Linked DNA regions of Saccharomyces cerevisiae S288C. The gene in region 2 interacts genetically with the main gene of each other region. Each region holds a gene or a part of one and is shown on either strand. Other genes may lie near its edges.

What was found.
Region 1: mutations in PRK1 (region 2) and GIM4 together harm fitness more than expected from each alone (negative genetic interaction), as found in Saccharomyces cerevisiae (5 studies listed by BioGRID, with this or other methods).
Region 3: mutations in PRK1 (region 2) and YKE2 together harm fitness more than expected from each alone (negative genetic interaction), as found in Saccharomyces cerevisiae (3 studies listed by BioGRID, with this or other methods).
Region 4: mutations in PRK1 (region 2) and ABP1 together harm fitness more than expected from each alone (negative genetic interaction), as found in Saccharomyces cerevisiae (7 studies listed by BioGRID, with this or other methods).

The regions. Positions count from the first base shown.
Region 1 is NC_001137.3:146,635-149,099, reverse strand, and holds GIM4 (tubulin-binding prefolding complex subunit GIM4), read right to left. Parts: upstream 925-2,465; coding exon 906-924; intron 818-905; coding exon 501-817; downstream 1-500. Other genes in the region: WBP1 (dolichyl-diphosphooligosaccharide-protein glycotransferase), read left to right, coding at 1-378; YEA4 (Yea4p), read right to left, coding at 1,121-2,149; VAB2 (Vab2p), read left to right, coding at 2,345-2,465. UniProt on the Saccharomyces cerevisiae protein: Binds specifically to cytosolic chaperonin (c-CPN) and transfers target proteins to it. Binds to nascent polypeptide chain and promotes folding in an environment in which there are many competing pathways for nonnative proteins.
Region 2 is NC_001141.2:177,614-187,254, reverse strand, and holds PRK1 (serine/threonine protein kinase PRK1), read right to left. Parts: upstream 3,319-9,641; coding exon 886-3,318; downstream 1-885. Other genes in the region: LYS12 (homoisocitrate dehydrogenase), read left to right, coding at 1-738; BMT5 (25S rRNA (uracil2634-N3)-methyltransferase), read left to right, coding at 4,128-5,138; glucose-induced degradation complex subunit FYV10, read right to left, coding at 5,278-6,828; FMC1 (Fmc1p), read left to right, coding at 7,016-7,483; SGA1 (glucan 1,4-alpha-glucosidase), read right to left, coding at 7,602-9,251. UniProt on the Saccharomyces cerevisiae protein: Protein kinase involved in the regulation of actin cytoskeleton organization and endocytosis. Phosphorylates PAN1 which disrupts the interaction between PAN1 and END3, and between PAN1 and SLA1. Phosphorylates SCD5.
Region 3 is NC_001144.5:542,303-549,856, reverse strand, and holds YKE2 (tubulin-binding prefolding complex subunit YKE2), read right to left. Parts: upstream 846-7,554; coding exon 501-845; downstream 1-500. Other genes in the region: ubiquinone biosynthesis protein COQ9, read left to right, coding at 1-346; PBA1 (Pba1p), read left to right, coding at 1,088-1,093, 1,180-2,004; snoRNP complex protein NOP56, read right to left, coding at 2,246-3,760; rRNA-processing protein PWP1, read right to left, coding at 4,159-5,889; glycylpeptide N-tetradecanoyltransferase NMT1, read left to right, coding at 6,553-7,554. UniProt on the Saccharomyces cerevisiae protein: Binds specifically to cytosolic chaperonin (c-CPN) and transfers target proteins to it. Binds to nascent polypeptide chain and promotes folding in an environment in which there are many competing pathways for nonnative proteins.
Region 4 is NC_001135.5:263,407-272,314, forward strand, and holds ABP1 (Abp1p), read left to right. Parts: upstream 1-1,661; coding exon 1,662-3,440; downstream 3,441-8,908. Other genes in the region: CSM1 (Csm1p), read left to right, coding at 1-558; YCR087C-A (uncharacterized protein), read right to left, coding at 600-1,061; FIG2 (Fig2p), read left to right, coding at 4,028-8,857. UniProt on the Saccharomyces cerevisiae protein: Regulates ARP2/3 complex-mediated actin assembly. Recruits ARP2/3 complex to sides of preexisting actin filaments, which may promote nucleation or stabilization of filament branches. Binds to actin filaments, but not actin monomers.

The DNA.
Region 1 (2,465 bases), on a different chromosome or scaffold from region 2:
CCACATATCGCTGATGATATCCAATTTGAACTAAGACAAGTGGATCCGTACTACCGTCTAACATTGTCGCCAAGCGGAAACGATTCTGAAACTCAGTATTACACCACCGGTGAATTCATCCTTCCAGACCGCCATGGAGTGTTTACATTCCTCACTGACTATCGTAAGATTGGCCTGTCGTTCACTACTGACAAAGACGTTAAAGCTATCCGTCACCTTGCTAATGATGAATACCCAAGAAGTTGGGAAATCAGCAATTCTTGGGTTTATATTAGCGCCATTTGTGGCGTCATTGTTGCGTGGATATTTTTTGTTGTTTCTTTCGTTACGACTTCCTCTGTTGGCAAGAAACTTGAAACATTCAAAAAAACAAACTAATATATGTTTTCATATCCTTTATAATTCTTTATAAATGGCTCACATAAATACATAAGAGTACCTGATTGTGTTTATTTATATTTTTTGCCAAACTAAGTACTGCAATAGATTTTATATATGGTTTAGTTTTTAACGACTTGAATCTTATTGTCTTTTTTCCATTTTTCAAACTCTTTTGCAGTTTGTATTAAGGTTTCTTTCATTTTACTTATTGTACCTTCTATGTTTTCCTTCTTAGTTTCAAGAATAGGCAAACTCGTTTGAACATCACTTTCAACAAGTGCGCCACCTATCATCCTGTAACATTTTCTCGTCGGCTCAGCGTCTTTCAGTGTTTTTATGACTATAGTGTGTTCATCTTTGTCATGACCTAATTCTATGATTTTTGTTTGCAATTCTTCCAAAATTTGTTTGTATTCATTATATTTTGCTTGAAAGACTATACACAGAGAAAACACAAAGATTGTTAGTAAGATAAAATTGGCTACATGCATTTATTAAAACCCAGAGATCGAAATTTTGCATACCGTTGTTCCTTTGTTCCATAGCTGTAATATAGTTCTCCACTTCTCATGAATGAGTTTTAAAGATTAGTGAGTTTAGGTGATGAATTCTTTTTTTTTTTTTTTTCATTTACTTCCAGGCGGCAGCGTTCGCGATTTTATCTAAACTTACGTCAACACCACTAATATAGAGTTAAGGAACATACAAGTAGGATTTAAGGTTAGTTTATAATGTGTGTTCATTTACTTTTCTTTATCGCCCCCTTGTCATTTTGCCTGGGGTGAATTGATCCCAGCGAGTATATAAAGGCACCAAAAAAGACTAGGTAGACCCCGATGTAGCCAGTATATGACAAGTTATTATCGAAAAGTCGGACGCTCAGTAAAAGACTTATAAATTTTCTTACAAGTAATGTTATGGAAAGTGTCAGAGCGTTTGTTTTACTGGCGAGGATATTAACACCCTTGACGCAAAAATATTGTGTTAACACATTGAAAAGAAGGAGAGTTTCTTCTCGCGGGACTAGAATCTTCCCTCCAAAATTTGAACACAATATTCTTTCAGACTTTCTCATCACTCGATATTCGTGAATTAACTGCTTTCGACTAAATAGAAAGAGAGGTAATGATAAAAAATGACTGTAAAAGATATTCTCCTTCCAATGCTTTCCATATTTTTGATACGTACGTTCATTGTATGCTGAAAGTAAAGATGATGTGAATGATGAAAGTACTAGTATACAAATGCCAAAAATAAAAGTGAGATCTACAGATTGGTCACTTCCAATTTTCCACGCTTGCAGTTTCAAATCTTGGTACCGAAAATCAGCATCTTTGAATAATGAGGCAATTATAGCTCCAATGGTTAAAAATAGTGTTGATAAAATCTGAATCTTTGTATATTTCCTACCATTTAATAACCAGCATGTAAACATGGTTATTACGGTTCCGAAGCATCTGAAAACGATATGAATCGGAATGGATATGTTGTATTTAAATACGTTATTATTCGTCGTAGATGAAATATAAAATAAAACGACAGTAATGACATAAACGTGAAGTGGAGTTTTCAGAGGCTTGAAGTAAGGGAAAGGTTGATGAACATCCAGAAATTCGGGGAGTCCCTGACATGTAACAAATAAAAATTGACAAAAAGTAATGAGATTATTAATGCTGCCTGTTTCGTTGCTCATTAAGGTTTCAAATGTAATAACATTGGAGCAACAACCTCCGAACACTAGAGCGAATGCTTTTAGTGAGTTCCACATTTTTTAGATTCTCCCAATCCAATTACTTCCCTGCTTATTCTCAATTGAATTCTCTTCATTTTTTCTAACTGGAGTGCAAAGCACTGAATATTTTTACTTTGCGTCGGGAGCGATTGCTTCCTTAAAATATGACAATGAATATATAAAGGAAGAGTATGCGTAACCAAACCATAAGAAAGGCAGAGAGTGCCTAGCATGGTAGCAGACTTAACTAAAGGTATACTGAAATGGAAATCAAGAATAGAATTTGATGCCGTTGGAAGCAGTTCCTATTACGAAGAGTTAAAGGGCTTACCTCCCCTTGCATCCCATAAAA
Region 2 (9,641 bases):
AAGTCTGTAGAGGGAGAAAAGGGTAAACCAATTGACATGGTTATCGTCAGAGAAAATACTGAGGACCTGTACATTAAAATTGAAAAAACATACATTGACAAGGCCACAGGTACAAGAGTTGCTGATGCCACAAAGAGAATATCCGAAATTGCAACAAGAAGAATTGCAACCATTGCATTAGATATTGCCTTGAAAAGATTACAAACAAGAGGCCAAGCCACTTTGACAGTGACTCATAAATCAAATGTTCTATCTCAAAGTGATGGTCTATTCAGAGAAATCTGTAAGGAAGTCTACGAATCTAACAAGGACAAGTACGGTCAAATCAAATATAACGAACAAATTGTGGATTCCATGGTTTATAGGCTGTTCAGAGAACCACAATGTTTTGATGTGATAGTGGCACCAAACCTATACGGGGATATATTATCTGACGGTGCTGCTGCTTTAGTCGGTTCATTAGGTGTTGTTCCAAGCGCCAACGTAGGTCCAGAAATTGTCATTGGTGAACCATGCCATGGTTCTGCACCAGATATTGCTGGTAAAGGTATTGCTAACCCAATCGCCACTATAAGATCTACTGCTTTGATGTTGGAATTCTTGGGCCACAACGAAGCTGCCCAAGATATCTACAAGGCTGTTGATGCTAACTTAAGAGAGGGTTCTATCAAGACACCAGATTTAGGTGGTAAGGCTTCTACTCAACAAGTCGTTGACGACGTTTTGTCGAGATTATAGAGCATATAATAGGAAAATAGAAACGAATAAATAAATGAATGAGTGACAAGATATATTTCAAAAAATTTCAAATGATTGACGAAAGAAAATTTGTACATTTTGTATGACTTTTAATATTACATAGTCTATTATGTGTGAGAGCAAGTTTTAAACTTTGCTGGGAAACCTTTTTCTAAAATCGGCTTCTAAATCATCTACGTTAACATCAACAATAGTTTCTGTGGCTTCGCTGGAAATTCTTTCAATCGGCAGTTTCTTTGATTGTAAACGACTAAAGTTTCTTATCTTCTGAATTTCTGTCCTTAAATGTAGTGGTTTTGGTGGTGGACGTGGTGGTCTTGATTTATCTTTACCGTTGCTTTTCGTTTTGATGTCCAAAACACCATCCTTAAGGGTTTTCTTAAACTTTTCTTCTGTGATTGGTGTTATTCTTACACTTGAATGTCGATTGGAAGTTTCTGTACCAATATCTGTATATTTACCATACCCGGATGCGGATTTATACGTTACCGGATCATCAGAACTCTTTAGTAAGTTATGCACTCTTCTTTGAATTGATTCCTTCTTTTCTTGATTTATATTAACGTTGCCATTATCTGGTATCAAAGTAGGCTTTGATGTCGTTTTAGCTGATGCTTGAGTTTTCTTCACTGGAGAATGAGACCTGTAATAGTCCCTTGATCCAGTTCTCGAGTTATTCCTCTCATGCTGGTCAAAATCTGATAAAATTGAAGGAGGCATACTGCGACGTTTTTCCAGTCTCTGATTCTTGTCTGATTCCTCTTTTCTTTTGGTATCAGAATTAAATTTAGGAAAGGAGGAGGTTGAAGACGAAACTAATCGCCTGTTTGTATTGTTACCATTGCCGTTGACATTGTTATTATCAAAGGAAGCAGACCTGCTATTGTTCACTGAGTTTCCTGTAAACCCATGACGAAGCTTACCAAATGCTGATCTGATACTATCACCAGTATTTTGCCTTGATTTAATCGGAGAATTGCCGCGAGATTCACCAGTAATAACCTTTTTTAACTTAGAGCTTAGTGAACGCACAATCTTGCTTCCATTTATATTATCTGGAGCAGCAATTTCTTTTGTGGAGCTTAGTGATTTGCTTGTAATGGTGGGAGATAGTTTTAAGTTTGGCACAGCCATGTTATCTATAGTTTGCGTCTCAGAATCAACGTAGTTATTTGGACGATTTATTGCCGAAACTCTATCAAAAATGTCATTATTAACAGGAGTAAGCGATAATGGAGGCATAGACTTCCTTTGTGGGGATTGGAAACTTTCTACTGATTTGAAAGTCTGAGACTTTTGAAAAGGGTGTAGCTCTTTATAATATAGTGATGCAAATTCATCAGAAAGTGGAACGGATTTTGTTTTCATTAAGGGACTAGTCAAATTTGAATGGCTTCCAACCTGTAAGCCAGCATGCGCCGTTACTTCTGTCTTGTTATTATCATTAATAGATATAGGGAAAGTACCCAAATTAGGAGTAGTACTGACGTGAGTTACAGGCATCATATTTGGTGGCTGGTTGATGCTCTGAAGGCTTTGTACGGGAATAAATTTCTGTGTTGGAACATAAGTTGTCGAAGACGGTTCACCGGCCAATTGGGTATTCGCATTCTGATTCATTGCTCTTAACAAGTAAAAATTTCTAATCGGGCAAGGCTTATTCTGTAACCTGGAAACCTCCTCTAAAACTTGACAAATATTTGGCCTCTGAGATGGTGCTTCCATTAACATAAGACGTATCAAATTTTTCAACCTGTCACTATACTGCGGAAAGGATGGATATTGATACCTTGCATGTAGTATACCGGCTTCACCACTTTTTTCAAACGGCGTAGTATAGTAACATATTTTGTAAAGAAAGACACCAAGAGCCCAAATATCAGATTTTTCGTCGATAGGTAACCCTCTGTACAGGTCAATCATTTCAGGTGATCTATACTGAGCTGTAGTATTTGTTAGGATGTCGTGTTGAACATAATTAAACTCTTGAGTATTTCTAGGTGGCCTTATCACACCGGAAACGGAACCAAAATCACAAACTTTATACAAGCCATCATGAGAAATAAGTACATTCTCAATCTTAATATCTCTATGAATCAATGGCGGCTGCAGAGCGTGCATTGCAGTTATACCTTGGACGGTTTGACTCATAATTTCTAATATTTCAGATTCTTGTAATCTATTTTGTAATCTGGTGTTCATAAAATCTATAAGACCTCCACGTTCACAAAATTCCATTAACACAAACACCTCATATGCTATACCATTTACAGACCTTGCAGCATGTGAATCTATGTAAGAAACAACATGCTTATTATTTCTAAGGAGTTTCATAGCATCCACTTCAGCTCTCAAGGTATTTAAACCCTGTTTATGGGGGACAATGACTCTTTTCAAGCATGCTATGTTAGCATTGCTATATGGGTCAGGAGGGGAAATTTCGGCAGTATATACTTGTGCGAATCCACCACTCGTAAGGTATTTGATAATCTTAGCATGATGAGATCCCACAGTTAATATTGTCCCGGGTTCATACAGACTAATCTGTGGAGTATTCATTGTTTTTGGATCAGTTCAACTAAAGATAGGAGGTTACAAATAATCTTGATCAACACTTCAATCAAAAAAGATTTTTTTCGCTGAAGATAATAAACTATCCCACAATGGAAATTCAACCTGTATTAGCGAACTAACTTATGTTCAAGTGGAGCCTGTGACCTGCCTGCTTGGTGACTTTTTTAGCGTTTCCTAAATGTACTGTTCTATATTTTTCTTTTTCCAAGACCTTCGCTCTGCATACGCCTGCCTGGTTATAATTACAGTTTTTTTTAAAAACCTTTACTAAGAATAAATAGTAACAGCTAGTGCAAACTAACGACATTGACATTTACTTGATATAAAATAATTGAGAGCGATCATATATATCGGAAATCTCTATCAGTACTAATATTAAATTTACATGAAATACTTCAACAAATTCCTGGTCTCTTGGCCCAGTTGGTTAAGGCACCGTGCTAATAACGCGGGGATCAGCGGTTCGATCCCGCTAGAGACCACTTATTTTTATGACTTCTTGGAAGTCAATTTTTTTTTCCTTCTGAATCAGTAATAACAAAAGTCGTAGTTGATCTTGTTATTGGATCATGTACATCAGTATTATTAATGATTTTAGTATTTCAAGCTGGCTCCCATATTTTTCTCCTGTAGAAAGAATGTAAATTATTCGGAAAAAAAAAAAAAAAAAGAAAAGAATTGGCGATGCGATGAGCTTAAAAGAAAACCTTCCATTACTTAAATTCATTGGAGCCTGACAACGTTTAGTAACGTTAAAATCATAGATTAACACCAATCATAACCTAAAATTATCAATGGCCAGGAAATTGAAGGGTAAGATTGGGAGTAAAGGCCTAAAAGGTGCATTATTAAGGCACAAGGCCAAAGTGAAATTAGTGAGGAATATTGAAAGTAAGCAAAAACATGAACTAAGAAAGAAAAATTCGAGCGCTAATAACAAAACCGTGAAGAGAAACCAAGAATTCCAAAAACTTAATCAAGGGAAGGTTATGCCCTTTGAGAAGGATGAAACTTTGATGCTATGTGGTGAAGGAGATTTTTCTTTTGCCAGATCCATTGTTGAACAAAACTATATTGAAAGTGACAATTTAATCATAACAAGTTACGATAATTCTGTGAATGAGCTGAAATTGAAATATCCGCATACTTTTGAGGAAAATTACCAGTACTTAAAAGATCTAAATATTCCGATATTTTTCCAGATTGACGTTACGAAGCTCGTAAAGAGCTTTAAAATTTCCAAAAATAATACTTGGTTTAAAATAATCAACAGGCTTAGCGATCATCGTTGGGGTAACAAACCTTTACAAAATATAGTTTTCAATTTTCCCCATAATGGAAAAGGTATTAAGGATCAAGAAAGAAATATTAGAGAGCATCAGGACTTAATTTTTAACTTTTTCCAAAATTCCTTACAATTATTTAATCTTATAAACACGAAAATTCAAAATGATACTCTTCGTTATACGCAAGGCTATGATCTTAATGAGGATACTCCCCAGGCTAAAAAATTGACCGCCGAAGGTTATGGTAACATCATACTGTCCCTTTTCGATGGAGAGCCCTATGATTCATGGCAAATCAAACTTTTAGCCAAAAAAAATGGACTAACTCTGAGCAGATCGAGCAAATTCCAATGGGAAAATTTTCCAGGATATCATCACCGGAGAACGAATAGCGAACAAGATACTACAAAACCTGCGAAAGAACGTGATGCTAGGTTCTACATCTTTAGTAAATATGTCTCGAATAGTTCAAAACATAACCGTAAAAGCAAAAAAGACACAGATTCTGATTCAGACTAAGTACAGAAGGAAGAATGTCGCCATGTTGATGAAAGAACTTTCATTTTCCCTAATTCTTATATAGCGTAAGTATCTGTAAAATAGTTGTGAAAGTTGGACAAATCTTTATATAAAAAAATGCATATAGCTTGAAACTATTTCAGGTTGGGTACATTTTGATAGAATCTGATTCGCAAAATATTTTCATGTCAACTGGATCCATAATTTGACCTGGATTTAAAGAAATTAAGTTTTGCTTTTTCAATGTTTTGGCCAATTTCTTCAATTTTTTACTGTCGTAAACATTTCCATTTGGTAATAGTATTGGATTTTCAAATAATTGAGACTGAATGTGATGAGCAAATGGTAATGCCTGTGTTATTGGTTTGAAAGTCTCACTGCAAACGGGACAATTTTTCCTTTTTAGTGAATGTAGCGTAAAGAGTTGTAAATCTTCAACTTCTTTCTCTGCTGTTGTGGCAGTTTCCGTCTCTTGATTTCCATTTTCATCGTCAGAAGGGTGCAGGCAATCTCTTGTCTTCAAAGACGATATACCTAGTGACAGGTATATCAATAAAGGGTCATTTTGTGATATGCCATACATGGAATAAAAGTCGCTCAAGAATAAATCATTTAATACCGACCATCTTTGATCATCTAATAAATTCAGATATCTTTCGAAATCTCCACTTTGTAAATTTATTAAGGAACTCTTGTCATAGTCTGTTGTATTCACCGCAGGTTTGGAGGTAATTCTAGGTAAAGATTTGTGAAAAAAATGTTGAAATATTCGATCTTTCTTCATTGGTAAACTTTGAGACTTAATCTCTTCAGTATCGAATCCAGAGCTGGTAGAAGAAGTTGGCTTTTGATCATTACAGTATTTGATAAAAATCAGAAGTCCAGATGCTAATTTTAAATCGGTGAAGTTGCTCTTAACGAATGGTAAAAGGAATCTTTGAAAACATACTATAGCGTCGGTATAGTTATCCACCTTTAGTAGTTCAATATATTCTTGCAATCTTGCTTGAAACTCTAATATAGAGGACTTTTTGGTCAGTGTCTTTTTGTTCTCGTTTATCCATGAAATTAGGGGTAAGAGATTACGCTCATGTAGTAACGAAGTCGAAATTCTATTAGCCTCCAAGAGGACATCATAATCAATGAGATCATCCAGTTGGCTCTGTTTCAAAAACACTACGCCAGAGTTCCAATGATCCTTTGTCTCCGAGTTGTATTTAATCGGGTTATTCCTCGTCAGATAATCACCAATTAAAATGTTTGTATAACTCTGATACCACTGTATCAATTTAGTCCTGGTACCCTCATTATTTCCATTGTGCGATGTTCCTGAATTTTGTGACTTGATGTCCTTCAGTTCGTGGAAAAACTCCAGCCTTTTTTTAATTCTGTTCAAAATCTGACAGTAGGACTTGATTTGCGTATTTAAAAATCTTTCTATATGGTCAACTTTCCTAATCATTTCAGTTATTTTTGCTAGTGCCAACTCGTCGTGCTCAACGTCATTATGTTCAAATATTTGATTTAATGCGGCCGTGTGTTCATGTAGTGATTTGGTTTCCTTATTAATTACCGCTTGAGTATGCTTGATACGTTTGGACAGTAGTTCATAAGGAATATGAAATAATTGTTGATTTAATTTCAAATGGAAATCCACATCAGGCTCATTAAATATTGATTTCTCTGCCATGGCTTACCTACTTTCCTATAATTTATAATCATTTTCTCTGTTTTATGTATGAAATTGTAGATTTAACCACCCCCTTCTCTTCGCCTTTGCAAAAAGTGAATATCTCAAATTGCACTAGAGTTTCATTTGCAGCGATAAGTGGATAACAAAAAGCTGAAAAGAGAGAGAAAGAGAGAGTGCCAGGGAAATGGATAGACCAAGAACATTACGCACATATAGAGGACTCATAAGAGCCATTCTGAAATATGAAAGGCCAAGCAAGATAGTCAATTGGGGCAATCTACGAAAGGCAATGATAACAAAGTTGGAATATGCTAAGAAACAAAATCAGAGAGACTCGCATGAGAACATCAACAGACAGTTAGAGAAATGGAAAAAACTAGATCCGGTAAGCGACAGATCTTTGAATTTGTTTATAGCCGACTCTAAGTCATTACGTTCCATATTACAAAACGATATAAAGTGGGAGAAAAAGGTGGCCCAGGGACAAAACGTTGACGAGATATTCGAACACGCTTTGGACATCATCAAGTTCTTGGACAACCAAAGAGAATACGAGGAGCTGGTCGACAGATACAATCCTGGCAACAAGTTGACACAGGATGAGAAAGTGAAAAGAACTGCAAACGTGGTTGGGCTGGACGTTCCGACATAGTATCTAATCAATTTATAATATCAGAGTTTTGTAAATAAGTATATATATATATTTGATGTAAATATCTAGGAAATACACTTGTGTATACTTCTCGCTTTCCTTTTATTTTTTTTTTTGTCTACAAACTCTGTAAAACTTCTTGTCTTATTTGATAGGCATCCCAGAATGAAGTATAGGACCAGGTAAGGTGTTGGGCACCCTGCATAAACCCTGTGTATTTGTTAAATTGTTCACTTAGTTCCCCGTCTGTTCCCACGTGAGCTTTCAGCTTGACCAAGAATGAATCAGCTAGTTGGAAGATTTTTTGTATGGTTTGATTGAAGGCAGGTGTATTGAACTCCAAAATCAAATAGCCTTCGTCATTTCCCAAAGTCGTGAGGTTGGAGAATACCAGCTCGCTCCAAAATGCGTTCGAACAATCGTTGTTCATTGGGACAACCAAGTCATGCTGCTCAGAGATGTGTCTGTAAATGAGCTGATAAAGCGTTGTTGAAGCGGTACACGTGGCCAGGACCCAGGGATTTCCCTCGCCAAAGCCATATCCATCATATACGTCCTCAGGATACCGGCCCAGGGCAATACCCGTTGCATTTTTGGAGCTATCGTTGATGGGGTATATCGAACGCATGTGCAACATCAAATGGTGCAACGTGTTCAGGACGGCAGGGTCATTGATATCGAACGGAAGATGGGAAGCAGATGGCGCATCGTGGACGGTGTTCGCAGCTAATAAAGTGGATATGTCCAGTCCGGATCTCAATGTGTCGGCAATCATGGGTGTCCCAACAATATAATTGTACTTGCCGTTGATAAACCCATTCGCAGGGTCCACTAAAAACTTGGAGATGTCCCGGCGTGTCTGACGCAATTCTTCAACAAAGGGAGACGACCGTTCTGAGGCGTTAAAATACGACAGCGACTTGTCCACTGCAGACAGTTGTACCAGTAAAGTAAAGAAATGCATGCCATTGACTTCCTCCCATAGATCAAATCCGGAAGAATTCCAGTGGTCAATAATGAACCTCAGGTCCCAACGTACAATATCATCAAAGATATCTGCGGTGGACTGGAATGGGTACTTGGCCCCCAGATCAGTGCCAGATTGCTTGATGTAGTCGATGATTTTTAAGATGGCAATGCTTCGAAGAGCAGGCCCATCGTTTTGAGGACGACCCCAATCTTCCGTGAAAGCCGTGTTGTCGACGTTCCACTTAGGGTCTCCCAAAGCCACTGTATCGTTAGTGTAACCAATGCCAGCGCCCAATGTGTTGTTGCTTCTTTGCAAGTGGAATGAAACGTTCAGGTACTGCAATAACGTCTCTATTGCCGGGCCCGCAGAATGAGAGACAATACTGTTTATCGTCAACGCGCTGTCCCTTATCCATTGGTAGAAGTAGTCTGGATGCGTTTGCGATGGTGACGCAATCACGACCCCAGGCGAAATAGACGGATACACGGCGCTGGGCCCAATATTTTCAAATATTTTTTCGATGGAAACTTTTTTCTGTCCCTGGAGCCATTCCTCCAGCGCACTACTGTCCCAAGCGCCGTTTGAATCGTATACCACTGTCCCATTCATCAAGACTGCATCCCGCAGCTGCACTTGCGAAGGGCCGTTGTTTGAAAATACACCGCCGTAGCTTTGATCGAGAATGCCCTTGCCAAAGTCAAATTCGTATATAGTAATGTTCTCGAGCGCCCAAGCAAACCCGAATCCTACGCTGAGCATGCCGAGTAATTTGTTATAAAACATCTTTTGTCTTGCCATTTTGCTGCTGTTACTTATTTGAAATCTTGCTCTAGTCCACGATTATCACTATATTGTAAATGTACGATTTCTTGTGTAACAGAACAGATAACGGATCCAGAGCCAAGAGATGAGAAAAAATACGAAATGCGCAGGAGGAAACAGGGAACCAAAAAAGGACCCTTGCTTCTGTGCCTGAGTCCCCTAATTTGTGACTCCACACATGCAGGCAAGTTAAAAGCACCTTGTACGAGTGCTATGAATGGGTGTTACTCTGGCCCGATTTCCCTGACTTTCCTTATTCACCCTCACCCCTAATACCCGTTTCCGCGGATAATGTTCTATGCTTCGAAGCGCCCCCCTTGCGCTGGGCCTCGAACCGCATCCATTGAACAACAGCTTGGCCTTCCC
Region 3 (7,554 bases), on a different chromosome or scaffold from region 2:
GGAACTAATGTCACAATTGGCTATTCCAAGCGCCTTTCTCTTTGAAACTGCAATTCCTGAACTACACAGATTGTCCGATGATATGATTTACTTTTCCAACGAAAAGGACCACCATGATTCTGCATGGTATGCTAAGAGATTGGCTGTTTCGAGCACCTACATTGGTTCAAAGTTATTTATGGCTCAGGATAAATCCCACAATTACAAAGAAACGTTTACTTTTGCAAAGGATAAATTACATAGGGTCATGCGTTTGGGTGAGTACTATAACAATACTGAAGAGTTTGCCTGGTATACGTTAATGTCTACGGTAAATTTAATCAAATCTCAATTAGTTAGGGGTTAAGCAATCTTACATGTCAATTTGAAGTTTAGGACAGTGAAATGCGTAGGTATTTTGTTTGTAAGTTACATAATTGTATATAAAAGAAAATTTTATTTTGGGCAGATTTATTGGTACTGTGCGCTTTCTTGTCTTTCCGAGGACCTGTGAGTTTGTTTTACCTTCCTGGGCCAGTGGAAGCTGCTGTATTGTTCAGTTTAATTAGCTCGCTTCTCATCTTTTCTAGTTCTTCCTGCTTGTCCCTTATGTTCTTTTCGCATCTTGTAATTTCTGTTTCGATGAACTCTAATCTTTTGTCCACGTTGGTACGTGCCTCACTTTGTTCAACTGGTAAAAGGACATTGCCTGTCAATTTGTACACAGGTGTATCTTCTTCTAATTGGTCAAACTCTTCATTTACAATCTTGTTTTCTTGTAATTGTGTCTCTAATTTTTGTCTGGCCACAATAAACTCTTCTAACTCATTTTGCAACTGTTGATATTTGGCACCTAATTCAGACATTTTTGCTTTTGTTCCTCCACTCAAATGTAGTCTTTTTCAATTCTGAAGTGGGATTATTTATAGATGACGTTTGACTTGATGAAGTTTTATTGCCTTTACTTTTTTTTTTCTTTCGCATCAAAATTTCAGACTTCATTGAAATCAATTTAAGAAGTTGCGTGGCAATAGGTGGCAACAGGCGAAATAATAAGAAACAGCGACCAAGATATCATCGCACTACAGTAAAATTTTCATTTATAGCGATGCTTGTATGTTACAATAATCTTTTTTCCCCATCATATTTTGCTAGAGTAGAGTGGTTTGACTAACTTATGTTACTTGATTCTTTTTGAAGTTTAAACAATGGAATGACTTACCAGAACCAAAACATCTGCTAGATCTCCCAGAGATTTCAAAAAACCTGCAATCTTTAGAAGTCTGCCCGGTTCCAAAAGTTGAGTTTCCTCAGGACTTGGATGTTCCTCAATATTCGACAGCCGTCATTACTACTAAGATAATGAACCCATTATTCCCCAAAAATCTGCTTCAATTAACCTCTATTGGTGAAATTAAAACTACATTGACGGTGAAAAGTCCAAGTCTTCCCCAATCTTCAGGTAAACACTCGTGGAATTACGACGAAAACTTTCCAAACGAGGTTGATCCTGATCAAAAAAATGACACCGCCGATGAAACAGTATATGGTTTTTCTTTCCCGATTTATTCATTTGGAAAGACGTTATTATTTTCTATGGAGGAGAATTTCATTAGTATATCGCCGATTTTTGGTAACATGATAAGTAGATCTATCATATCACAGTTAGCCCAGTTCTCCCCTGATATAATAGTAATTGGCACCTCTGATAAAATCGCCAGCATGAAGGTAATGACGGAAAATGAATGTACACTACAACCACCAGAATTTATAACGGGATTCATAGGAAGTGTGCTAACACAATTGATTGTCGGTCCCAGTAAGGGACTGAAATTTAAATGTCTTGTAGCGCCTAGTGAGGGGCCTAATGGATTTGAGAAACTTTCGTTGTCTGACATGGGTTCTTTAGTTGATTTGTGCGGTCAATGGCTTGGTTTTGAGCCTTCAAGATATTCTGAAGAATGCTATCGCTTATGGAGGTGTGATAGCGCGGCAATTGGTGCACAATCAGGCCTATATATATGAATGGCGATCACAGAATGTCAGTAATGGCGAGTGAAAGAGGCATAAGAGGGTACTTAAGCTCAAAATAACATATGACTTTTTTATTTAATAATATTTCTAAATATACAATATACAGCTTCCAAATCCTAAAGAAGAATATTAGAAGGGAATAAAAGATAATATATATATATATGAAAAACTTTAAAGGGAAGAAAAGTACACAAAAAGATGGGATATACTTTATTTCGATTCATTGTTCCTTTTAATCCTTACTTTTCTTCTTTTTATCCTTCTTTTCCTTTTTATCTTTCTTTTCCTTTTTGTCCTTCTTTTCCTTCTTTTCTTTCTTTTCCTTCTTCGATTTTTTCTCTTTCTTTTCCTTCTTTTCTTCATCATCATCTTCTAATTTTCTCTTCTTTGAGGATTCCTTTTCCTTGGTTTCTTCCACTTCTGCAGCTGGTTTATCTTTGTTATAAAGTTCCATGGCTTCTTGAATGGCTAATTCATTCTTCAAAGTTGGCTTACCAGTGTTGTAGAATTCTAATCTTTGCTCAACTTGTTTCTTTAGTACGGAACCAAAAACATTAGATGGTTCCTCAGAGTAATTGTCAATTCTAGAGGCCATAGAACATTTGTTAGCCAAGTATCTAGAAATACGACCCTTGTTCTTGGCAGAGGCCTTAGAAATAAAACCACTGTGGTAAATCAAACCGTATTTTGGAGTGTTACCTTTAGTTTTTAAAGCTCTGAACAAAGCCTTTTCAGCACCAAGAATTTGAACCGTTGAAGCTGCTTGCTTAGATAAATTAGTTAGGGAACCTGCGTGAGAAATTAATCTAGCACCAATCACTTCACCAATCAATTCTGATAAGTTTGGTGCAACAGTGTGCATTTTTTCGCATAAGTAATCGTATAATTGTCTTCTGTAATCAGCTAAGGAAGCGACTCTCTGAGCGAAAACACAAACATTTTCCATATCGGTTTCTGATATATCTTGTCCCATGGAGATACGGGCATTGTCAATGACTCTTTGTGCAATTCCCGAATCCTCATTCAAAAGAGCAGCCAAATCATGTAAGGAGTCATCGTTTAATGAAGCTTTGTCCTTGATAAAAAGAACCAACTTGGCAAAAGTGTAGTTGTCTGGTACCAATTTAGCCAGTTCGGGGAAATGCCAGCCATACCACTCTTTAACTCTCATAGCAAAAGTGTTGATATCTTTATCTAATTGATCTAATAAAGCAATAGCTTGAATGATGTGATTGTCGTTCTTTTGAACAGAGAACTTCACTTTAGCTCTGGAGTAAGCGTGACCTAAACCTAATTGGGCTCTTTCTAAGTCACCAGATTGTAGACCTTTGAATAATTTTTCGCCATGTAATCTGACACCACGAATCAAATCCTGAGCAAGTTCATTTGAAATACAATCAACATATGGAAATTCTTCCTTAATAGAAGGACCTAAGTTTTTATCGGAAATAGCCAAAGTAATGTTCTTCTTTTTCGAGGAAGCCTTTGGTAAGTTTAAATCCAAGATAGCTTTCAAACTCTCAGAGACTAAACCTTCTGATATGTCGTTAGCATTTTCAAGGGCTTCAGCAGCACCTTTGAATGGCGCGAAAGATACAAGTTCGATTAACTTTGTAAAAGCACCAAAATCATTGATTTGCTCTTGAACTTCTTTTAATCTTGAACCAATGTCATCTTGTTGCAACTTAACCTTGAAAACTGCGTAACCAGTAGGTTCTTCAAACAGTAGGTATTCAATAGGAGCCATCTTTCACTAAATACTGTTCTGCACGCTTCTTCTCCTAGAAATATACCTTCCAAAACACTTTTAATAACTACTTAAAAAACTGTAGACACTACGCAATTGCACAAAATTTTTCATTTCCCATCTCATCACTCAAAAAAATTTCACTTTGAAAAAAAAAAAAAAAGAAAATTTTCACATCGCATTCTACGAGCGTATATATGCCGGGTGATATAAAAAAGTTACACAACTGTAATTCACCACATTGTCATCATATGCTAAATTATACCGTAACAGCACATATTAATGTATTATATTGTTTTTTTCTGAGGCTCCTCTTACACTAGTATACAGTATTATCTTCTATAGATTTTTTATTTGTACTTGCAATGTACTCTGCTTTAATATTTTTCATATCCAGATTATGCCATGTCATCATGCTCATCTCCACCTTCTCTTTCTTCTTCATCTTCACCTTGATCATCAATGGTTATAACAGTATCTGGGTTATCGTTACTGGTGTATTTTCTGGCGATTCTTGAACTTTTTCCTATTTTTTGGGCTTCTTCTTTTGCTCTTGCTTGAACATTCTCTAGTTCACTTTTAAAGCTCTTACGTACAGATCTATTGGTAAAAACGTCCCATAGTTTCAAAACTTTATTGACACCACCAATGACCATGGTACCCGCTACCTCGATGTCTGGAGCGAATGACGATGTCAATACATTTCCGACATCGAAATCACGAGACAGAACCATGCTTGGGCCCTTAGTGTTCGTAGCATCATCCAAGGGGAATTTCCATAATTTGACAGTCTTTTCACCCATGGCCCCTGTACTCATCATACCAGGGATGAATTTGTTTGAACATAATGTGGAGATACCAGCATCGTGTGCCTTCAATGTCCAAACTGGTTTACGGTTTTCATTGTTTCTAATATCGAAAGAATACACATTACCAGAATCAGTACCACATAATATTATATTTTCACTGGCAAATGTAACAGTTTCTATTTCCTCACCTGCCATGGCAGACCAGTATTTACTCATTTGACTTTCGTCAGAAATTCTAACATCTGTTAAAGCTACTCGAGAATCATAACCACCGGTCAAAAGAATGGAACCATTCAACATGTGCCATTCAGATGATGAAACATTTTTGTTTGAATGAATGGAAGCTAAGGAGCGGGCTGCGTTACCTGAGTTCAAATCCCATAGTTTTACGGTATGATCTGCAGAGGTGGATGCTAAAACGGAACGGAAATATTTGTTGTGTGCCATGGATAAAACAGCATCGGTATGATGAGTAGTAATGTGTCCAGTCTTAGACTTCTTCTTCTTCTTTTTGCTTTTCAAAGACACCATTGAATTATCAAGAGGTTCACCCAGAATCATATCGGGAAAGGCCTTGTCAACACAGTCCAAGTTCCAAATTTCAATTTGTGGATCAAACGTACCAATGGCAGCATAATTGGCTGCTTCTTCGGAATTGGATCCAACCTTGTAGTCAAGCCACTCAACACATAGTGGAAAAGCAGGCAACATTAAATCATGGTGAACGTAAAGTGCAGGGTCACGAACCAATCCACGAGCAACATCTGGGTCAGCTTCATCACCTTCTTCAACGGGAATATCGCTACTGTGGAACCCAGCACCGTCATCGTAAACGTAGATATCCAAATACGAAACGTCATCTTCTGTTCTCGCAGCAAGAACTAAATTATCGGATGGGTAAACTTGTAACTCCTGCTTCTCCTCTTGACTATCCTCTTGATTAGGCAATGAAATATATGGATCTTCACCTTTTTCACCCTCATGGAATTTAACATCGCTATCATTACTTAAACCCGGGAACATGGAAACGTCTTTACCACCCTCATTATCTGCAATTTCCTCATCGTCATATTCTTCCAGGTTATATTCTTTCAAATCATCATCTATATCCAACTGATCCTTCAACTTATTAGAACTACCTGTTGCGGCGTCATCTTCAACACCTGATTCGCCTTCTGCTTCTTCCAAAGTAGCTTTAGCATCATCCAAATTCAACTGTGCTAATTGGTTAATTCTTTCCACTTCCTCATCATCCAGAACATACTTTTCAGGAAATTCCGAGGAAAACCCTCTTGGAACCCAATTAGTAGCAGAAATCATTAGTTATTTTGTTTTTTTTATTCGTCTTCTAAGTTTCCAAATAAGGAAGGCGTAATAGACTCAACTGAGGGTACACTTGCTATCGTTTACAAATTAAAACTCTTTGCTTCTTTCAAACTCATCTCAGCTCATCGAGACAAATTTTTCACTTCTTTTTTTCGAGGGCGAGAAAATTTATTACCCGACTGGATATAATATATATAGAATAATACATATGATCAACTCAAGGTAGGGCCTATGGAAAAGTTTTACAACGGACAAGGCAATTAAATTGAATTGCACGATTCTCTAATTTTTTATTCTTGCAGATTTGTTTCATGATAAATTCGCCAGTTAGAGTTCTTATTATGGGTGGGTAAGAATTCAGTTAACGTTTAAAATTCTCAATATTAATCGCAAAGTGGAAAGCAAAGCAAAGTCTCACTAGAAATTGCAGGCGGACTATGTATAATTACGTAATAGTAGTTCTTGCAACAGAGGATCCTTTCGACTCTTTTGAAAGGATACTGTCATAAAACAATAGGATAAAATAATTTCAGCCGTTGCTCATGATAAAAGTAATTCACTATAATTGAAGATGATATGTGTTGCACGCTTTTTAGAGAATGATCTGTACAATAGCTCTGGTTGTCATAGAGCTTCGGTAGTAAACGTATTTATAGAATGTCAGAAGAGGATAAAGCGAAAAAATTAGAGAATTTATTGAAGTTATTACAGTTGAATAATGACGATACTTCAAAATTCACTCAAGAACAGAAAAAAGCTATGAAAGACCACAAATTCTGGAGAACGCAACCGGTCAAAGATTTCGATGAAAAGGTGGTGGAAGAAGGCCCCATTGATAAGCCAAAGACACCGGAAGATATATCTGACAAGCCACTACCTTTATTGTCTAGCTTCGAATGGTGTAGTATTGATGTGGACAACAAAAAACAGCTTGAAGATGTTTTCGTTCTACTAAATGAAAACTACGTGGAAGACCGCGATGCAGGCTTCAGATTTAACTATACCAAAGAATTCTTCAATTGGGCTTTAAAGAGTCCAGGTTGGAAGAAGGATTGGCATATTGGTGTTCGCGTTAAAGAAACACAGAAATTAGTTGCCTTTATCTCAGCCATACCAGTAACACTTGGTGTTAGAGGTAAACAAGTGCCTAGTGTAGAAATCAATTTCTTGTGCGTTCACAAACAGCTAAGATCGAAGAGATTAACACCTGTTCTAATTAAAGAAATTACGAGACGAGTGAACAAATGTGACATCTGGCATGCATTGTACACGGCAGGTATTGTTTTGCCAGCACCTGTGAGTACGTGTCGTTATACTCATCGTCCCTTGAATTGGAAGAAACTTTATGAAGTAGATTTCACAGGGTTACCAGATGGGCACACAGAGGAGGATATGATTGCTGAGAATGCGTTACCGGCCAAAACAAAGACAGCGGGATTGAGAAAATTAAAGAAGGAAGATATTGACCAAGTTTTTGAGTTGTTCAAAAGATATCAATCCAGGTTCGAACTAATTCAAATTTTCACAAAAGAAGAATTCGAACATAATTTCATTGGTGAAGAATCGTTACCATTGGATAAACAAGTAATTTTCTCATATGTAGTCGAACAGCCCGATGGAAAAATTACAGACTTCTTCTCATTTTACTCATTGCCATTC
Region 4 (8,908 bases), on a different chromosome or scaffold from region 2:
GTATACAAAAACTCAGTGAAACAACAGATCGATTCCGCAGACTTACTAGTGGCAAATTTGGTAAATGAGAATTTCGTACTGTCGGAGAAGCTGGATACAAAAGCAACCGAGATCAAACAGCTGCAGAAGCAGATAGACTCGCTAAACGCACAAGTCAAGGAGCTGAAGACTCAGACTTCCCAACAGGCAGAAAATTCAGAAGTCATAAAGGACCTTTACGAGTACCTCTGTAACGTACGTGTACATAAAAGCTACGAGGATGATTCTGGGTTGTGGTTCGACATCTCGCAGGGCACCCACTCAGGGGGATCTTCCGATGATTATTCGATAATGGACTATAAACTCGGATTTGTCAAGGGCCAGGCCCAAGTCACAGAAGTCATATATGCGCCCGTTCTTAAACAGCGATCCACCGAGGAACTATACTCGCTACAGTCGAAACTACCGGAATACCTCTTCGAAACGTTGAGTTTCCCCCTCTCGTCGCTAAACCAATTCTATAACAAAATCGCTAAAAGCCTGAATAAGAAAAGAGAGAAAAAAGATGAAACCGAGTAAGCTGCTACATAATGTCTATATATCTACACATAAAATTCCGATTATTCCTTTGCATACCTGATTTGCCCCTCAGAATCCACAACCAGACTTTTCAAGAAGGTCTTTTTTGCCCCTTTATCCTTCATGGTTTTCAAAATTTTGTACAACGACTTGCCCTTGTGAAGCTCGATACCGTTCGAGGTCTTTTCCACTTTCTCTGCCTTCTTGATCACAGGCTTCTCCACTTTCTTTGCAGGAGTTGCCACTGGCTGGTGCTGGTGCTGCTTCTGCTGCTGCTTCTGCTGCTGCTTCTGCTTCTGCTTCTTGTTGCCCTTGTACAACGCTTTCTGGTACTTCTCGTCCTCGCTGATGCAAGACGTGTGATTCTTGTAACTCACGCCATCTTCAAACGTCTTGGAGCAATCTATGCATGTATAGTACGCGTTAGGACATCTATAATAATGCTTTTCGGTATTCTTCTTGGGCACAGTATCATTACACACCTCACAGTTGAACGTAACCATCCTGTAATAACAAATATTTCTTGACTGAGACCGTTTGCTGTTGTATACAGAATACTCTTAGAGCTCATCGCAAGTTAAAAATTTTCAATTTTTTTTCACTTTTTCCCGTCAAGGCAAAAAGCAACCAAAAGAGAATGAACCTTTATTTTTGATTTATTTATTATGAGATGCTGCTAGTCCACTCATCTGCATCAATGTAGTAGTCACAAAGCTAATATTTAGACGTTACTTTGATATCTCTGTCCATGAGAGCACTTATTTTAGGAAGTTAAATGAGACAGTCAATAGTTCACAATATCCCGTCAGCAATGGAGGGAAAAGGCATTCCTTTTCCATAGGATTTTAATCGTTTTCAAGCATCATACGCCCTCGAGGAACTCTTGTTTTCGCTTTACTATGCAACCATTGATGTATTTCTGTATAAATGTGCGTCACGTGGCCTTGTGTCTCTTATTTCCACTTGTTTTTTCACAATGCGGAAAACCTCGATTAAAGTAGAAAAAAAGGATATAATAGGAGTATACCATATTGGATAGTTCAATCTATAAACAAACAATCGCATAACCGCACGTATATACACGCACACACCTATCAATCACAATGGCTTTGGAACCTATTGATTATACTACTCACTCGAGAGAGATCGACGCAGAGTACCTGAAGATTGTCAGAGGCTCCGATCCTGACACCACCTGGTTGATTATTTCACCCAATGCGAAAAAAGAATACGAACCTGAGTCTACCGGTTCCTCCTTTCACGATTTCTTGCAATTGTTTGATGAAACCAAGGTCCAGTACGGACTGGCACGTGTGTCCCCACCAGGGTCAGACGTTGAGAAGATTATTATCATTGGTTGGTGTCCTGATTCTGCGCCATTGAAGACAAGGGCCTCTTTCGCCGCCAATTTTGCTGCAGTTGCTAATAATCTGTTCAAGGGTTACCACGTTCAAGTTACCGCCAGAGACGAGGACGATCTTGACGAAAATGAACTGTTGATGAAAATCAGTAACGCGGCCGGTGCCCGTTATTCTATTCAGACTTCCTCCAAGCAACAGGGGAAGGCTTCCACTCCTCCCGTGAAGAAATCCTTCACACCTTCCAAGAGCCCTGCTCCAGTTTCTAAGAAGGAACCAGTCAAGACTCCTTCCCCAGCACCTGCTGCTAAGATTTCTTCCCGTGTTAACGACAACAATGACGACGACGATTGGAATGAGCCTGAATTAAAGGAACGCGACTTCGATCAGGCTCCCCTGAAACCAAATCAATCATCTTACAAACCAATTGGCAAAATCGACTTGCAAAAAGTGATTGCTGAAGAAAAGGCTAAGGAGGACCCACGTCTTGTTCAAAAGCCAACCGCTGCTGGTTCCAAGATTGATCCTAGTTCTGATATCGCTAATTTAAAGAACGAATCAAAATTAAAGAGGGACTCCGAGTTTAACTCCTTTTTGGGCACCACTAAACCCCCCTCCATGACGGAATCTTCATTAAAGAATGATGATGATAAAGTCATTAAGGGTTTTAGAAACGAGAAATCACCTGCTCAATTATGGGCCGAAAGAAAGGCAAAGCAAAACAGCGGCAACGCCGAAACTAAGGCTGAGGCACCAAAACCTGAAGTTCCAGAAGATGAGCCTGAAGGTGAACCTGACGTCAAAGATTTGAAATCAAAATTTGAAGGATTGGCCGCTTCAGAAAAAGAGGAGGAAGAAATGGAAAACAAATTTGCTCCTCCTCCAAAGAAATCAGAACCAACTATTATCTCACCAAAACCCTTCTCCAAGCCACAAGAACCTGTGAAAGCTGAAGAAGCCGAGCAGCCTAAGACTGATTACAAGAAGATCGGCAACCCATTACCCGGTATGCACATTGAAGCGGATAATGAGGAAGAACCAGAAGAGAATGATGATGACTGGGATGATGATGAAGACGAGGCTGCTCAACCTCCTTTGCCTTCGAGGAATGTTGCGTCAGGAGCACCAGTGCAAAAAGAAGAGCCTGAACAAGAAGAGATCGCCCCAAGCTTACCTTCTAGAAACTCGATCCCAGCTCCAAAACAAGAAGAAGCACCTGAACAAGCACCTGAAGAAGAAATTGAAGAAGAAGCTGAGGAAGCCGCTCCACAGCTGCCATCAAGAAGCTCTGCAGCTCCTCCTCCGCCTCCAAGACGAGCAACTCCAGAGAAAAAGCCAAAGGAAAATCCTTGGGCCACAGCAGAATATGATTACGATGCTGCAGAAGATAACGAACTGACCTTTGTGGAAAATGACAAGATTATCAATATTGAATTTGTCGACGATGACTGGTGGCTAGGGGAACTAGAGAAAGACGGCTCAAAAGGTCTCTTCCCCAGCAATTATGTGTCTTTGGGCAACTAGAATCACACGTCAGCGTCATGCTATTATATTATTCTTACGTAAAAAAATACTTACAGAGACGTTAAAGCTTTTGTATAGATACTTTCACGAGCCTTCCCTTTCAGTAAAATGAACAAATTATTTTGCCTTGTCCTTCTTTGTTTCAAGCGTTTATATGACTCCTCTACAGTATTATTTTTCAACAGACGGTGTGCCCGTACGGCGTTGTCAAAACCTCGAACATAAAACAACACTGAAACAAACTTATTGCACTCCTGCATCGCATACAGATCTGATACTTACTACAACCATAATGCTGTTTTAGAATCGCATCAGGTGTTTACCAGAAGTGTATGGTACATGGTGCTTTCCTTATGCTCACTATTTCGGATTTACTTCTAGTCTATGTATAGATTTGTTAGAGACCAGTTTTAAGCTACAATGGAACGTTAAGATTAAGAAATGCATGAAGAGTCTCCCAGTAGATATATAAAGCTGAATTAAATTCAGTACAATGGAAGTTTCCACGTCTTTCTGTATTTTCATACCTTTAATTATAGGAAAAGCACACTACAAAAATACGCTATCATCTACCGAATATAACTGCAATGAACTCATTTGCGTCATTAGGTCTGATATATTCAGTAGTAAACCTTTTAACTAGAGTAGAGGCTCAAATTGTGTTCTACCAGAATAGTAGTACTTCACTGCCTGTCCCTACTTTAGTATCCACCTCAATAGCAGATTTTCACGAGTCCTCATCAACTGGCGAAGTGCAGTATTCATCCTCTTATTCGTATGTGCAGCCCTCAATAGACTCCTTCACTTCATCTAGCTTCTTAACAAGTTTTGAAGCTCCTACCGAAACTTCTTCCAGCTATGCAGTTTCTTCCTCATTGATAACTTCTGATACTTTTTCTTCATACTCTGATATCTTCGATGAAGAAACAAGTTCATTAATATCAACCTCAGCTGCCTCATCGGAGAAAGCCTCGTCCACCCTTTCTTCAACTGCACAACCTCATAGGACATCTCACTCTTCCTCTTCATTCGAGCTACCAGTCACTGCTCCATCATCCTCTAGTTTACCGTCCTCAACTTCATTGACATTTACGTCAGTTAATCCATCTCAAAGTTGGACTTCATTTAACTCAGAAAAATCTAGCGCTCTTTCCTCAACCATAGATTTTACTTCTTCTGAGATTTCAGGTTCAACATCTCCAAAGAGCCTGGAAAGTTTCGATACCACCGGTACTATAACTTCATCTTATTCTCCTTCTCCTTCTTCAAAAAATTCTAACCAGACCTCACTACTCAGCCCATTGGAGCCTCTGTCCAGTTCTTCAGGAGATTTAATATTGAGTTCAACTATTCAAGCTACTACCAATGACCAAACTTCAAAAACTATTCCAACTCTTGTTGACGCCACATCGTCATTACCACCAACATTGAGGTCATCCAGTATGGCACCAACAAGTGGTTCTGATTCAATCTCACACAACTTTACGAGCCCCCCCTCTAAAACAAGTGGTAACTACGATGTTTTGACTTCAAACTCAATAGATCCTTCTCTATTTACAACTACGAGTGAATATTCATCTACACAATTGTCGAGTTTAAATCGGGCCTCAAAAAGTGAAACAGTTAATTTCACTGCTTCTATTGCTTCCACACCATTTGGTACAGATTCGGCTACTTCTCTAATAGACCCCATTAGTTCAGTGGGTTCTACAGCATCTAGCTTTGTGGGAATTTCAACCGCCAATTTTAGTACACAAGGGAACTCGAACTATGTTCCTGAATCAACTGCAAGTGGAAGTTCACAATACCAGGACTGGTCAAGCTCTTCTCTTCCGCTGTCACAAACCACTTGGGTTGTCATCAACACAACTAATACACAAGGGTCTGTAACGTCAACCACATCCCCGGCTTATGTTTCTACGGCCACCAAAACGGTTGACGGGGTGATCACCGAATATGTTACATGGTGTCCTCTAACACAAACCAAATCACAAGCAATTGGGGTCAGTTCGTCCATTTCTAGCGTTCCACAAGCCTCCTCATTTAGCGGTAGTTCTATTTTGAGCTCCAATTCCAGCACTCTTGCTGCCTCGAACAACGTTCCTGAATCAACTGCAAGCGGAAGTTCACAATACCAGGACTGGTCAAGCTCTTCTCTTCCGCTGTCACAAACCACTTGGGTTGTCATCAACACAACTAATACACAAGGGTCTGTAACGTCAACCACATCCCCGGCTTATGTTTCTACGGCCACCAAAACGGTTGACGGGGTGATCACCGAATATGTTACATGGTGTCCTCTAACACAAACCAAATCACAAGCAATTGGGATCAGTTCATCCACGATTAGCGCCACACAAACCTCTAAACCATCTTCAATATTAACATTGGGGATATCGACCTTACAATTGTCTGATGCCACATTTAAGGGGACTGAAACTATAAACACCCATCTCATGACCGAAAGTACTTCAATCACAGAGCCCACCTATTTTAGTGGCACATCGGATAGTTTTTATTTGTGCACCAGTGAAGTTAATCTTGCGTCTTCCTTATCTTCTTATCCAAATTTTTCATCTTCAGAAGGCTCTACGGCGACCATTACTAACTCTACCGTTACATTTGGATCGACCAGCAAGTATCCATCTACTAGTGTATCTAACCCAACAGAAGCCAGCCAACATGTGAGCTCTAGTGTGAACTCACTCACTGATTTTACTTCAAATTCAACCGAAACCATCGCAGTTATATCTAATATTCACAAAACTTCGTCAAATAAAGACTATTCATTGACGACTACGCAATTAAAGACCAGCGGAATGCAAACGCTTGTGCTTTCTACTGTCACAACAACGGTGAACGGTGCTGCTACGGAATACACAACGTGGTGCCCGGCATCAAGTATTGCTTATACGACATCCATATCATATAAAACATTAGTTTTGACCACTGAAGTCTGCTCTCATTCTGAGTGTACTCCAACGGTTATTACCAGTGTTACTGCAACAAGCTCTACAATCCCCCTTTTATCAACCTCTAGCTCTACGGTATTATCTTCTACAGTATCCGAAGGTGCAAAAAATCCCGCTGCTTCTGAAGTAACTATTAATACCCAAGTTTCTGCTACTTCCGAAGCTACTAGTACTAGCACTCAAGTGTCTGCTACTTCTGCGACGGCCACTGCTAGCGAGAGTTCAACCACATCCCAGGTTTCTACTGCTTCCGAAACTATTAGCACTCTCGGTACTCAAAACTTTACCACTACTGGAAGCTTACTTTTCCCGGCTTTGTCTACTGAAATGATAAATACTACTGTGGTTTCCCGAAAAACCCTAATTATTAGTACAGAGGTATGTTCCCATTCCAAATGTGTCCCAACAGTCATTACCGAGGTTGTTACTTCGAAAGGCACGCCTTCTAATGGACATTCTTCTCAAACTCTACAAACGGAGGCAGTAGAGGTGACATTGTCATCCCATCAAACCGTAACTATGAGTACCGAAGTATGTTCTAATTCGATTTGCACACCGACTGTTATTACATCTGTGCAAATGAGAAGTACTCCTTTTCCATACTTAACTTCTTCAACGTCAAGTTCCTCTTTAGCCTCCACCAAAAAAAGTTCCTTAGAAGCCTCCTCAGAAATGTCCACCTTTTCTGTCAGTACGCAAAGTTTGCCTTTGGCATTCACAAGTTCAGAAAAACGCTCCACCACATCTGTCTCTCAATGGTCAAATACCGTTTTAACTAATACAATAATGTCCTCTTCTTCTAATGTCATATCAACAAATGAAAAGCCCAGTAGTACTACCTCTCCATACAACTTCTCTTCGGGGTACTCTTTACCTTCTTCTTCTACACCTTCCCAATATTCACTATCTACAGCTACTACAACAATCAACGGAATCAAAACTGTGTACACAACTTGGTGTCCATTGGCAGAAAAATCTACTGTAGCTGCTTCTTCTCAATCTTCCCGCAGTGTTGACAGGTTTGTTTCGTCGTCAAAACCATCCTCATCTTTATCTCAGACCTCTATTCAATATACATTATCTACTGCTACCACCACCATAAGTGGTTTGAAGACTGTATACACGACTTGGTGTCCATTAACAAGTAAATCGACTTTAGGTGCTACTACTCAAACTTCCTCGACAGCCAAAGTTAGAATTACTTCCGCTTCATCTGCAACATCTACTTCTATTTCTTTGAGCACTTCAACAGAATCAGAATCTTCATCTGGATATTTGTCGAAAGGAGTATGCTCAGGTACTGAATGTACGCAAGATGTGCCAACACAATCATCCTCACCTGCTTCAACGTTAGCATATTCCCCCTCTGTTTCTACATCATCATCATCATCATTCTCAACAACAACTGCATCAACACTAACGTCAACACACACCTCTGTCCCGTTATTACCATCATCTAGCTCTATATCAGCATCTTCGCCATCATCAACTTCGTTGTTATCCACTTCTTTACCATCTCCCGCTTTTACGTCATCAACACTTCCAACAGCAACAGCAGTATCTTCCTCCACTTTCATAGCGTCTTCTCTACCATTGTCCTCTAAATCATCATTGTCGTTATCGCCAGTCTCGTCGTCTATTTTGATGTCTCAGTTTTCATCATCATCATCATCATCATCATCATTGGCATCGTTGCCATCTCTTTCTATATCACCAACTGTTGACACTGTTTCTGTTCTACAACCAACTACTTCCATCGCAACACTAACTTGCACAGACTCACAATGCCAACAGGAGGTATCCACTATCTGTAATGGATCCAACTGTGACGATGTGACTTCAACTGCCACTACTCCTCCATCTACGGTTACTGATACTATGACATGTACTGGATCTGAGTGCCAGAAAACCACATCTAGCAGCTGTGATGGTTACTCGTGTAAAGTATCCGAAACGTATAAATCAAGCGCTACAATATCTGCATGTAGTGGAGAAGGATGCCAAGCTTCCGCTACAAGTGAGCTAAATTCTCAATACGTCACGATGACGTCTGTCATTACCCCAAGTGCCATAACAACAACATCAGTGGAAGTGCATTCAACTGAATCCACTATATCAATTACTACAGTGAAGCCAGTTACATATACATCCAGTGATACTAATGGAGAACTGATAACCATAACAAGTTCCAGCCAAACTGTAATTCCATCAGTAACGACGATAATAACGAGAACAAAAGTGGCCATAACTTCAGCACCAAAGCCAACAACTACGACCTATGTCGAGCAACGACTTTCCTCCAGTGGGATTGCTACTTCTTTTGTTGCTGCTGCATCCTCAACTTGGATTACTACACCCATTGTCAGTACGTATGCTGGTTCGGCGTCAAAATTTCTCTGTAGTAAGTTCTTTATGATAATGGTAATGGTGATCAACTTCATTTAATTTCCCGTATATATTATATGTACGTATATATGCTATAAACAGACACTCTTT